Mus musculus: one gene and its partners. Each later gene encodes a partner of the first gene's protein in a complex. Links are inferred from orthologs where the notes say so. Each region holds a gene or a part of one and is shown in the gene's direction. Other genes may lie near its edges. The genes, in order: Polr3c, Polr3k and Polr3g.

What was found.
Region 2: Polr3c (region 1) and Polr3k share a complex: the UniProt entries of both Homo sapiens proteins name them as parts of the RNA polymerase III complex. The link is inferred for Mus musculus from reciprocal best matches to the Homo sapiens genes POLR3C and POLR3K.
Region 3: Polr3c (region 1) and Polr3g share a complex: the UniProt entries of both Homo sapiens proteins name them as parts of the RNA polymerase III complex. The link is inferred for Mus musculus from reciprocal best matches to the Homo sapiens genes POLR3C and POLR3G.

What each region holds. Positions count from the first base shown.
Region 1 is NC_000069.6:96,714,274-96,717,446, reverse strand, and holds part of Polr3c (DNA-directed RNA polymerase III subunit RPC3), read left to right. Parts: intron 1-641; exon of another isoform or gene 642-699; coding exon 700-780; coding exon of another isoform or gene 781-801; exon of another isoform or gene 802-935; intron 936-966; coding exon 967-1,018; intron 1,019-1,752; coding exon 1,753-1,813; intron 1,814-2,176; coding exon 2,177-2,327; intron 2,328-3,086; coding exon 3,087-3,173. UniProt on the Homo sapiens protein: DNA-dependent RNA polymerase catalyzes the transcription of DNA into RNA using the four ribonucleoside triphosphates as substrates.
Region 2 is NC_000068.7:181,863,075-181,867,276, forward strand, and holds the start of Polr3k (DNA-directed RNA polymerase III subunit RPC10), read left to right. Parts: upstream 1-1,285; 5' UTR 1,286-1,384; coding exon 1,385-1,495; intron 1,496-2,871; coding exon 2,872-2,959; intron 2,960-4,202. UniProt on the Homo sapiens protein: Core component of RNA polymerase III (Pol III) which synthesizes small non-coding RNAs using the four ribonucleoside triphosphates as substrates. Can mediate Pol I proofreading of the nascent RNA transcript.
Region 3 is NC_000079.6:81,697,465-81,701,115, reverse strand, and holds part of Polr3g (DNA-directed RNA polymerase III subunit RPC7), read left to right. Parts: intron 1-1,222; 5' UTR 1,223-1,255; coding exon 1,256-1,372; intron 1,373-3,651. UniProt on the Homo sapiens protein: DNA-dependent RNA polymerase catalyzes the transcription of DNA into RNA using the four ribonucleoside triphosphates as substrates.

The sequences.
Region 1 (3,173 bases):
TGTTTCTGTCAGGGTCTGACTGTGTAGCACTGGCTATTTAGAGCTCACTATGTAGACTAGACCCCAAATACAGAGATCTACCTGCCTCTGCCTCCCAAGTTTTGGGATTAAAGTTGTGCAGCCCTCTTGGCCTCTTTACTCTTATAAGCAATGATACTATGAATATTTCTTTTTTTTTTTTTTTTTTTTTTTTTGGTTTTTCGAGACAGGGTTTTTCTGTGTAGCCCTGGCTGAATATTTTTTTAAGATTTATTTATTTTACGCCGGCATGGTGACGCACACCTTTAATCCCAGCACTCAGGAGGCAGAGGCAGGCAGATTTCTGAGTTCAAGGCCAGCCTGGTCTACAAAGCGAGTTCCAGGACAGCTAGGACTATACAGAGAAACCCTGTCTCGAAAAAAAAAAAAAAAAAAAGATTTATTTTATGTATATGAGTACACTGTAGCTGTCTTCAGACAGAAGGTGGCACTGGATCCCGTTATAGATGGTTGGGAGCTACCGTGTGGTTGCTGGGAATTGAACTCAGGACCTCTGGAAGAGCAGTCAGTGCTCTTAACTATTGAGCCATCTCTCTAGCCCATGAATATTTCTTAAATACTTTTATGTTTTTGAAATCTAAACTTAGGACATCTTGTTTCAGTTACATTTAGCAATTCTGCGTTCTGACCCTGTTTCCAGCATCTCCTTCTGTCCCACAGATCTTCAGGTCCCTGCCCGTCGGATATAACATCTCTAAACAGGTTCTCGATCAGTACCTCACGCTGCTGGCAGATGACCCAGTAAGTCTCTTGCCCCCTTAGTCTGATCACAGTTTCTCTCCTATAGCCTTCTTGTGTACTTAGCCATCCCAGACAAAGTCCCTTCACCCAACAGGAAAGCTACCTGCTTCAGTCTCTTGACCAGATGTGCTCCGTGGGAAAGAGAATTATGCAGTTAACACCGTTCACTCTCTTTCTTCTTAACAGCTAGAGTTTATTGGAAAGTCTGGCGACAGTGGCGGAGGAATGTTTGTCATCAGTATCCTTTCAGCTGCCTGTCCTGTCAGGACCTCTGAGTTAGGAAGCAGGGCCTGGGAAAGATTGTTCTGGGTTTTTGTTGAGACAGTCTCTGTAGCCCAGCCTGGCCTTGAACTCACTGTGTAGCCTAGAAGTTGGCAGTAAAGTCCTGATCCTCCTGCCTTTACCTCCCAAGTGCTGAGTTAGACACATGTGCCACCTTAAGAAAAGAGTTTGTCAATGCTTAATATACTAAACAAGTTTTAAAAATGAACTTTCTATTAAGTTTTCTGTGAATTTCAGTGAGTTACATTAATGAAAATAAAAAAAGGCTCCAGCTGCCACTCAGTAGCACCACACTTACTGTTCTAGGTTCTGGGCCAGATCACCAGCATTGCCACAGACAGGAAGAGGGTGGGGTGGGCGGGGAGCTAAGAAAGGGAGGAAGCTGGGGAGAGGCCAGTGTGGTAGTAAACCCTTATAATCAGAGCAGTTTAGGGGCCGAGGCAGAAAAGTTTAATGGTCAAAGTCAGTCTGGCTACATAGCAAGACCCTGTCTCAAAAAAGAAAAGATTTAAAAAGAAAAAGAAAAAAAAAAAAAAAAAAACACTTAAGCAAACCCTACATATCAGACCTGAAATGTGAAAGCAAAATAGCAGTTAATTTTTAGTTTTAAATTAGGAATTTAGTCATGAAACTAAGGTAATAGTGACCAGGCTAAAACATTACTAGATGTCCTTAATCCTCTACCTAAAGACCTCCATAAAGCATTAGCGTCCCTAGCCACTGCAACTCTGGAGTCTGTCATCCAGGAGAGGTAAGAGGCTCCTTGACTGGGGTTGGGCTCAGACACTTGCTATCCACACCCCACTGAACAAGTCATTAGGTTTTTATGGCATACCCCTGCCACACTTGGTCTCATCTCTCCCATAAAGTTAATTCCTAGTTAGGCAAATTAACCAGCCACCCTAAAGCTCTGTAATACAAGCACTGTGGAGTAGGTAGGAGTAGGTAGGCATCTGGTAACGAGTTAGAGGAACAGTGCCATCACCAACCTCAGGAGCTGTGTCAGAACGGATGCAGTTTTCCTCTCGGGTCCCGATTCCACACGTAGACTAGTACCTCCACGCTCTGAGACTAGGAGCTAAAGCATGCCACGCGCTTCTTTGTCCCTTTCCAGATTCGGGTCTCGCTGTGCCAGGATATTCCGTCTGGTATTGCAGAAGAAACACCTTGAGCAGAAGCAGGTGGAGGACTTTGCAATGATCCCTGCGAAGGAGGCAAAGGACATGCTGTACAAGATGCTCTCGGAAAACTTCATCCTGCTGCAGGTGACCACAGCCCCAGTGCATGCTGAGCAGCAGGGCTGACCTTGACAGCCTGGGCCCCCAGACAGACACCATAACCACCTCTGAAGCAGAAAAAAGATTAACACAGACATAGCAAATCCTCCAAGGATCATGTAGACTTTAACTGGCCTCTCAGAGAGACAGACAGGGTGCACCAAGAAATCAGCTCACAATTATAACTTCCCTGCTCTTTCTAGCCTCCAGCCCATTATTCCTGACCTCTCTCAGCCTAGATCTTTAATAGAGTAACTTGTTCAGCATAGCTTGGATTCTGTAGTTCTGTATTGAGGACCCTTTGAAGACGTAGGTTGATAGATTTTGGAGTCAATTCACCAAGCAAGTCAACTACCATCCTCTTCATATCTGTAAAATGGTGGTGGCTGCTGAAATAAAAGCAGTGCTTTGCACCAACCACAGTAATGCATACCTATGATTCGGTACTCAGGAGAGTAAGGCTGAAGGACTGAATTTATTTATTAATCACTGTCACAGTTATTAATAAAGGCTTGTGTAGAGTTTGCTCAGTAAATATTAGTTGCCTTTCCTTTCTTCCACCCAGGATGCTGATAGACAAATGGAAACTGGGCAGCCTGCTCCATGTGACTGATTATGTCATAACCATAGCCCCTGATTGGCTAAGAAGGAAAGAAGATCAGTGCTGACAGTACCAAGTGGATGGCTGTTTATCTTGCCCATTCCAAATAACGTACAATTTCTCTCTTTATTTCTGTGGACAAACAGGAAATTCCTAAGACGCCAGACCACGCCCCGTCCAGGACCTTCTATCTGTACACTGTGAATGTGCTCTCAGCTGCCAGGATGCTGTTG
Region 2 (4,202 bases), on another chromosome or scaffold:
TCCTTTTTCTGTGATAACTCCAGCTGTGTCAGGTTGACACAAAACTAGCCATAAATATTTGGCTTACATGTCAAGAGTCCATTGTTTAGGGGAGTCAATGCAGGAACTTGCTGCAGAAACAGAAGCCATTACCATGGTGGGATGCTGCTTACTGGTTTGCTCCTCATGATTTACTCAGATTCTCAGATTGCTTTTTTCTCTCTCTCCATTTTGTTCTTAGACTTACTTAAGTGTATGAGGGTTTTTGTTTGTTTGTTTTTTTTTTTTTTTGAATGCTTGTTCGTGCACCAAAGACGTGCTTGGTGCCTACGGAGGTCAGAAGAGGGCATTGGATTCTCAGGAACTGGAGGTTATGGACGTTTGTGAGCTACCATATTGGTGCTGGGAATTAAACCAGTGTTCACTATAAGAACAAGCAACAGCTGAACTATCTCTTCAGCCCCATCATTCTGCTTTCTTATATCACCCAGGACCACTGGCTTGGTGGTGACACCGCCCCCAATGGGCTAGACCCTCTCCTACCAATTTTAACTCAAGAAAATGCCCCCAGAGACTTATTTACTGGTCAATTTATGGTGACATTTTCACAATTGGGGTTCCTCTCCCTGGATATTTAGTTTGTGTATAGTTAAAGCAAACAGAAAACAACACACACATACATGTGCATGTTGCAGAATGACTGCAGAGGATTAAAGAGGCAAGGAGTTTCAAAGAAATCTGAGAAGCCAGAGCTGGGAAATATAAATGTCTATAGGAAATGAGATAAAAGAGTCAGCTGGACGTCTGTGAAAAGGAGCTGCTGGTATTTGTTACCTGCAGGGTTGAGTCTAGCTGTGTAAGTGAAAGGGCAGAATGAAACTAGGTGAAGAAATGGCCAGATGGAGGAATGGCAGGTCCAGATAGGATATCGTACGTCAGTCAGACAGCAGTTGAGACGTAGTATTAACAATGGGGACAGTGTTCCTGGGACATTTGGTTATTTTCTGTCCGTTCCGGATGAGAATATTGCGGAGCAGCATGATCCTCCTGTAACACGTCCATGGCTCGGAGTGCGGCAAGTGTCTCCTCATCACCCAGAACCTCTCACCTGGGTACTCTGGTGGTGCCAGCATTATCGGTCCAGTCCTCTTGGCGTTTCAGCTAGGGAGACGTGTGCACACGCGCAGAAACGACAGGGCTGGGCGTGCAGGCAGCATGCTATTGGCTGGATGGGAAAGGATTATCTGCGGTGACCAATGGAGTGTGCGAGGCTGCCCGCCGCAGTGCCTACTGGGAACGTCTTGAGGATCCCGGGTTGCCAGTTACGGAGCAAGTGAGACGGCTTTTGATTGGGCGCCTGCACCACGGAAGCGCCAGACAGAAGCGAGGTGTGGAAGCTGGCAGTATGCTGTTGTTCTGCCCGGGCTGCGGGAACGGACTCATTGTGGAGGAGGGGCAGCGTTGCCATCGCTTCGCCTGCAACACTTGCCCCTACGTCCATAATATCACCCGTAAGGTAAGTTCCACAGACGGGTGCCTTCTCTGCTTTCTGGGAGGCACAGCAAGCGTCGGCGCGCTCAGACCTTCCTGCAGGCTTTTGTGCTCTCGCTGCGGTGGTACCCCAAGTCCAGCAGTCGCTGCTCCAGTGGCGTCGCTCCGGCCACGTCGAAGCCCCCCCACCCCCCTCTAGCTCTCCGTTGCCCACTTTGTGATACTCCGAAAATTGTGAGAATTTTAGTTCATACCTTTTAAACCTACACTCCCCTCGTGCTGTCCTTGGCGTACCAGTCCGCGCCTCGCCTCTGATTTGAAATCCTTGGGTTCTTCTTGTGGCTCTTTTGCTCCCAGCCCCTGTCGTTATTCTAGAGAATCTTCACCATGTACGCAGTACTGTTAGGTCCTTCCTTTTGCCCGAGTCATTCTTACACAGGCACATATCACACTTATTCATTCTCCGCCTTACCCCCTACCCCCGTGTATGTGTGCATGTATGCGTCTCTGTTTCCCTCTTCCTTTCTCTCTCCCTCTCCTCTTTTAAAATAATGGCTACCTTATTTAGATTCCTGCCCTTCTGGCTGTTTGTGCATGTCTATAATTTTAGCACTTGGAGAGGCTGCGGCAGGAGAATAGGTTCAAGGCTCACCTGGGCTGCATAGCACATAGACACGCACACACACGCACGCACAGGCACAGGAAACAAACCAAACCCCAGCACTTTCAGTTTATCCACATTCCTTTTATATTTTTCACAGAATGCATTGCCTTCTAATATTTTATATCCTTGTTGCTATTTTGTGTGTGTGGTGCTTGTGTTGGAGCCCAGAAAGCTGTATTTCTAGCCCTTGGTGTTTTGTGTACCCTTCAACTCTTGTTTTGTTCCTCCTTACCTCAGTGACTGCAGGTGTGCACCACTGGGCCTTGGTGACATCTCATTCTTAATGTTTGCTCATTAGAGCTGTATGGTAGGAGTTTAGAGTCTGGATTTGTGGTAAGATGAGTTGTGACATAATTTCGAAATTAGAAGGATGCCTGATAAACTTAGGAAAGCAGCCAAAATGACCTGGGGAGTGCTGGTATACCCAGTTAAATGTCTGTCACTCCTGTTGGATTATTAGGTGTCTGAGGGGTATGAGAGAAGAGTGAGGTTTTACTAGGCTGATTTTTCTTCCTGCTCTGTCTGGTGTTTCCTTCTGTTTCTAGAGACCTTTGACATTGAACCTCTGTGCTGTTTTGGGGGACATCCCAGTCACAAGACCCCTACATTTCAGTGACTCACACTGCTCTTTGAAGAAGATAAATTTTGTAGAGGGAATGCTGGAGGGAGATTGTAGTTTGGTGGCCCACTTGTAAAACTGTACAATTACTTCAAATCTGATGTCTTGTTTCTATTAGGTAACAAACCGAAAGTATCCAAAGCTAAAAGAAGTGGACGACGTGCTTGGTGGAGCAGCTGCATGGGAGAATGTGGACTCTACTGCAGGTGAGGATTTTCCCATAACAGAGCTAGGGACTCAACCCTGCTTATTATTACTCGTTATTATATTTAATAATAATAAATTTATTATTATAATGTAACCCTGTCTGTTATTAGGGCCAGTGAGATGGCTCAGCAGGTAAAAGCACTTGTTGCCAAACCTGTTAGATTCTTGGAGCCCAGAGAGTAGAAGAGAGCTGACTGATGGAAACTTTTTTTTTGTGACTCTGTACCATCCACCACACACACACACACACACACACACACACACGTACGTACGTGTAAGTGTAAAAGAATTTAAGAAGATGTAAATAACAAAGTAATGACAAATAGCTAGTGTTTGTCACTAACTCTAAACAAGGTTTTACATTTTTGTTGCTGTTTGATTTTGTTTTTTGAGACATGGTTTCTCTGTGTAGTCTGGGTGTCCTGGAACTTGCTCTGTAGACTGTGCTGGCCTCAAATTCAGAGATCTACCTGTCTGCCTCCCGTATGTTGGTATTAAAAGCATATGCCACCACCACCTGGCTGTATTAAATGTTTTTTAAAGTAGATTCTTTCAAGTATTCTTTAAAGGAAAGTTACCATACGGATACCTGAACTGTTGTTTCATTTAGACTCTCAAGTCAGATATGGAAAAGTATAATTAAAAATAAATCTGGTGCATATTCTCTTCTTGAAGCAAAATTGGAGTTCATTACAAAAAAGTTTCAACATTGATGTAAACATAGCTGTTGAGAGGGAAAGAGAGATCCATGCTCTAGCAGGTGTAGGCTTCTCGAGAGTTATGTTGTATGTATTTTCAAATACCAACACTGAAAAAATGATCAGCCCTGGTCTTTTATTTTCATTTTATTTTTTATTATATGAATTAAAAAAAAATTGTAACTAGGGGTGAAGCATGGTTGCTCAAGCTTATAATTCTGGTGCTCTCCGGGTATAGGCAGAAGGCTCAGTGCTTATCTGGGCTTCATGAGACCCTGCCTCAGTCAGTCTGTCAACCAAGAAATAGTTGGGTAGGATTTCAGTGGTTAAGTTGGATTTCCTTCCCAACTTCCATAGCAGCTCAGACCTTCTGTACTTGTAGTTTCAGGTGATCTCATGCCCTCTACTGGCATCCAAGGGTACTGCATGAACATGATTCACGGAATACCTGAAGGCAAAACATGCACATAAAATAATGTTAAAAAAATTAAAAGGGGGGGAGGAGGAAATTCGAGACAGAGTTTCTCTGTATGGCTTTGGTTGT
Region 3 (3,651 bases), on another chromosome or scaffold:
TTACTATAGTTACTATTATTTGACTTAGGCAGACCTTTTCAGAGCCTTATGAATCCCTTTCATATTCCTAAAAGGACATTACAGCCCAGAGTCCTGTTTAACACTCAGATTCTAGGATAAATAACTTGTGTGGAGTTACAGTGTATGGTTACTAGCGCTCAAACTGACATAAGATTTCCTCTTCTCAGCCTGAATTTATCCATCCCCTCATGTCTTCCTCTTCCTCCTTTTCTCCTCCTCTTTCTTCTTCTGTATATCTGAGATCTTGTTATCACACCCCAGAGATGGAGGGAACTGTATCAGTTGGCTGTATAGTTCCAGCTGGATCTCTAAGGAGACCTAGGGTCAGCCCTTTCCTGAGGACCTAAGTGAAGGGGCTGTAGCCTTTAGGCTACATCCCTACTGGTGGTGGCAGTGAAACTTTAGCCGTCAGTGACACTTGTTCCTAAGCACATTTCTTTTTAACTGATAAGAAAATGTTTCAATCTATTCTAGTGACACTTTAACCTGCCTTCAGGTCCTATCAGATCTTTTCCTCCACCCAACCCCCACACCCTTTCTTTCTCTCTCTCTTTAAGAAGCAAAAACAAGAAACACACACACAAACAGAAACTAAAATATACATGCAATAGACCGGTAAGACAGAACTCCACAAAGCAATATAAAACAAAAATTCTTTTTAAAACAATTACGATTAGGACCATCAAGTTCAGACTACTGGGCCTGAGGCCTCCCCAGAGACTCCATTGGAGAAAACTAAAAACAAATTGTTACTTTGCAAGCAAGTATAGGCTGTATTGTGCCAGTGGTTTCTTGGTTAGGGGTGAGTGCCAGGATCTACTTGCCTTCCTTGTTGGAGATGGGGATGGGGATGCAGTCTGTCTATTTTACTCTCTTGGTCCTGGCACCCTGTTTAACTTGAACCCGTGCAGACCCTGCGTGTGGTACCACAGTCTGTGAGTTCATGTGCACCAGGCCTGTTCTGTCTTGAAGACACATTTTCTTTGCAGTTATCCATCTACTCTGGCTCTTACAATCTTTCTGCCAAAATATACATAGATCCCTGCATAGATCCTCTTCTGCTTAGATCCTTGAACTCTGTTCAAAATTATTTTAAATCAACCATGCTATATGAGGGCTAGAATCTTGTATTTTGCTTTAAAATGCTTGTTTCCTTTTGTGTATGATCCAGTGAATCTTACCCACTAATTGTGTCTTTCAGCATTGGTCCACACGGCTGCTATAGCTGCTTCCAATGGCTGGCAATAAAGGAAGAGGGCGTGCTGCCTACACCTTTAATATCGAAGCTGTTGGATTCAGCAGAGGGGAGAAGTTACCTGATGTTGTGTTGAAGCCTCCACCCCTGTTTCCTGTACGTGTGATGATAGCTCAGTTTTCACAATGTATTTTTGTGTTTCATGGGAAAGTGCAGTTCTGCTTAGGGCTTGAGTACATGCTAGTATCATGATATCCTCATGTCTAAGAGTAAGAGTATGTTGCATTTACTTTGCACTCAAACATCCGATTATTCTCAGATCCTGCTGAAGACTGCTTTCTTAGAAAACAGAGAACAAAAACTATGTATGTATGTATGTATGTATGTATGTATGTACAATTTTGTACAAACATGATGACTACTGTGTATACTAAGAACATTTATTTGAAATCTGTGTCTTCTACTGATGTCATTAATATATTCTAATTACCAAAATAATATTTTAAGTAGCCAAGTTAGGTTCATGATGCCCCTGGTGTAGCTAGTGGTTTTCTTCATATTCTGTATTTGTAAAAAAGATTTTGCTCCTTACTATGATGCCATGTTTGTCTCATCAAGTTTGTCTTTGCTGCATCCCTGTTCTGAGTCACTTCAGAGTTTGTTAACTGCTCAGGGCAGAAACGTTTCTCCTACTCTTGCGATTGCTTCTAAACTGAATGATAGAACAGCTGATGTTTCCTCTACATTCAGCTGAAAGCGGAAGTTTCCATTTCCAGATGGGTATGTGCTCCTGCTGGAAACCAACAATCATGAGTGACCTGACCCTGCATTAATCTGTCATGTTTCAGATGGAGAAGCCCATTGTTGAAGGACTCGTGGCAGTATAGAATTAGATAAAGAGATTATGCACTAAAAAAAATTTAATAGTTTGGATTTTTTTTGAGAATTTTATGTATCATTTACAGAATCTTATATATGATTCCATCGTTTTCACTCCTACTCATCCCATGTCCTCCACACTCCCTCTCAAATTCATGACCTCTTCTTTCTTTCTTTCTTTCTTTCTTTCTTTCTTTCTTTCTTTCTTTCTTTCTTTACTTATTTATTATATGTAAGTGCACTGTAGCTGTCTTCAGACACTCCAGAAGAGGGCATCAGATGTTGTTACAGATGGTTGTGAGCCACCTTGTGGTTGCTGGGATTTGAACTCAGGACCTTTGGAAGAGCAGTTGGCACTCTTAACCGCTGAGCCATTTCACCAGCCCCCTCATGACCTCTTCTATAATTATTGTTGTTATATGTATGTACTTTATATGTACAACATTATACACACAGGTACACATATGTACACATATACGCACAGCCTCCTGGGTCCGTTTAATGGTGCTCATATGTATGTGTGAAGGACTGACTACTAGAAACTGGATAACCTATCAGGGGCCTTGTTCTTGGAGAAAACTGATTTTTCCCTCTCTCTACAATAATTAGTTGACTATAGCTCTTTATGGATTGCCAGGGGCCGTGTCTTTTGGGGTTGAATTCCCTCATCCATGTTGGCGTTTCAGCTGCTGCTATCCTTATGAAGGTCTGTTTTGACAACAACACTGTTGAGATTTCATGGATGTGACTTGTGTCATCTCTAGATAACACTGTCTCACATCATGTGTCCTTCCTAGTCCCTGGGTTCTTTTCATTTCACTCGCTCTTCTCTGATGCCTCCTGAGGCTTAGGTGTATGCCAAGGACTAGCCTCAACTTGGAGAGGGGTTCTGAGAGAAGGGGTCTTTGAGAACAGTGAAACAAATGGGTTGAAGTCAAATCATGGGGTACAAACTGATGGCCTGTATTCTGCTTGAGATGGCTCCCTAGGTAGCTCTTTGTAGATAGCTCTTAGCTCTGTAGTCTGCTTGAGACAGCTCCCTGCTTGAGACAGCTCCCTGGTAATAGAAAACATTCTAAATGCTTTCTGGATAGCTCATAGGTTTTCGGATCAAAGTCAGAAAAGCTGCTAAAAAAATTATTGGATTTTCTGACCAAGTCAATGCTGTTAGAAAAGTTCTAAAAGTAATTATTGGGTTTTCTGATGAAAATCAGAAAGCCAGAAAAAAATTCTAAAAGCCATGTTAGCTCTCCAAGCAGTTCTCTCTGGATAGCTGCTAGAAAATATTCTAAGAGCTGGAATTACCATTCCTGCCTCACCTGGCCCTGGACCTAAACACCCTCTGTCCCAGGCTGAACTCAGAAATCTGTCTGCTTTTGCAAGCACAAAAACTTAGTTGGGTAGGATCTTGCCCTGTGATCACCACTCCCTAAATCTCTTTATCTCCTTACCTTGTATCTTTCTGACAAGTTGGCTCACAGTACTGCTGCCTCTGTTCATTTAGATCTGTGATGCTCCTTATATAATTCATATTGCATCCTTATTATTTTGCATAG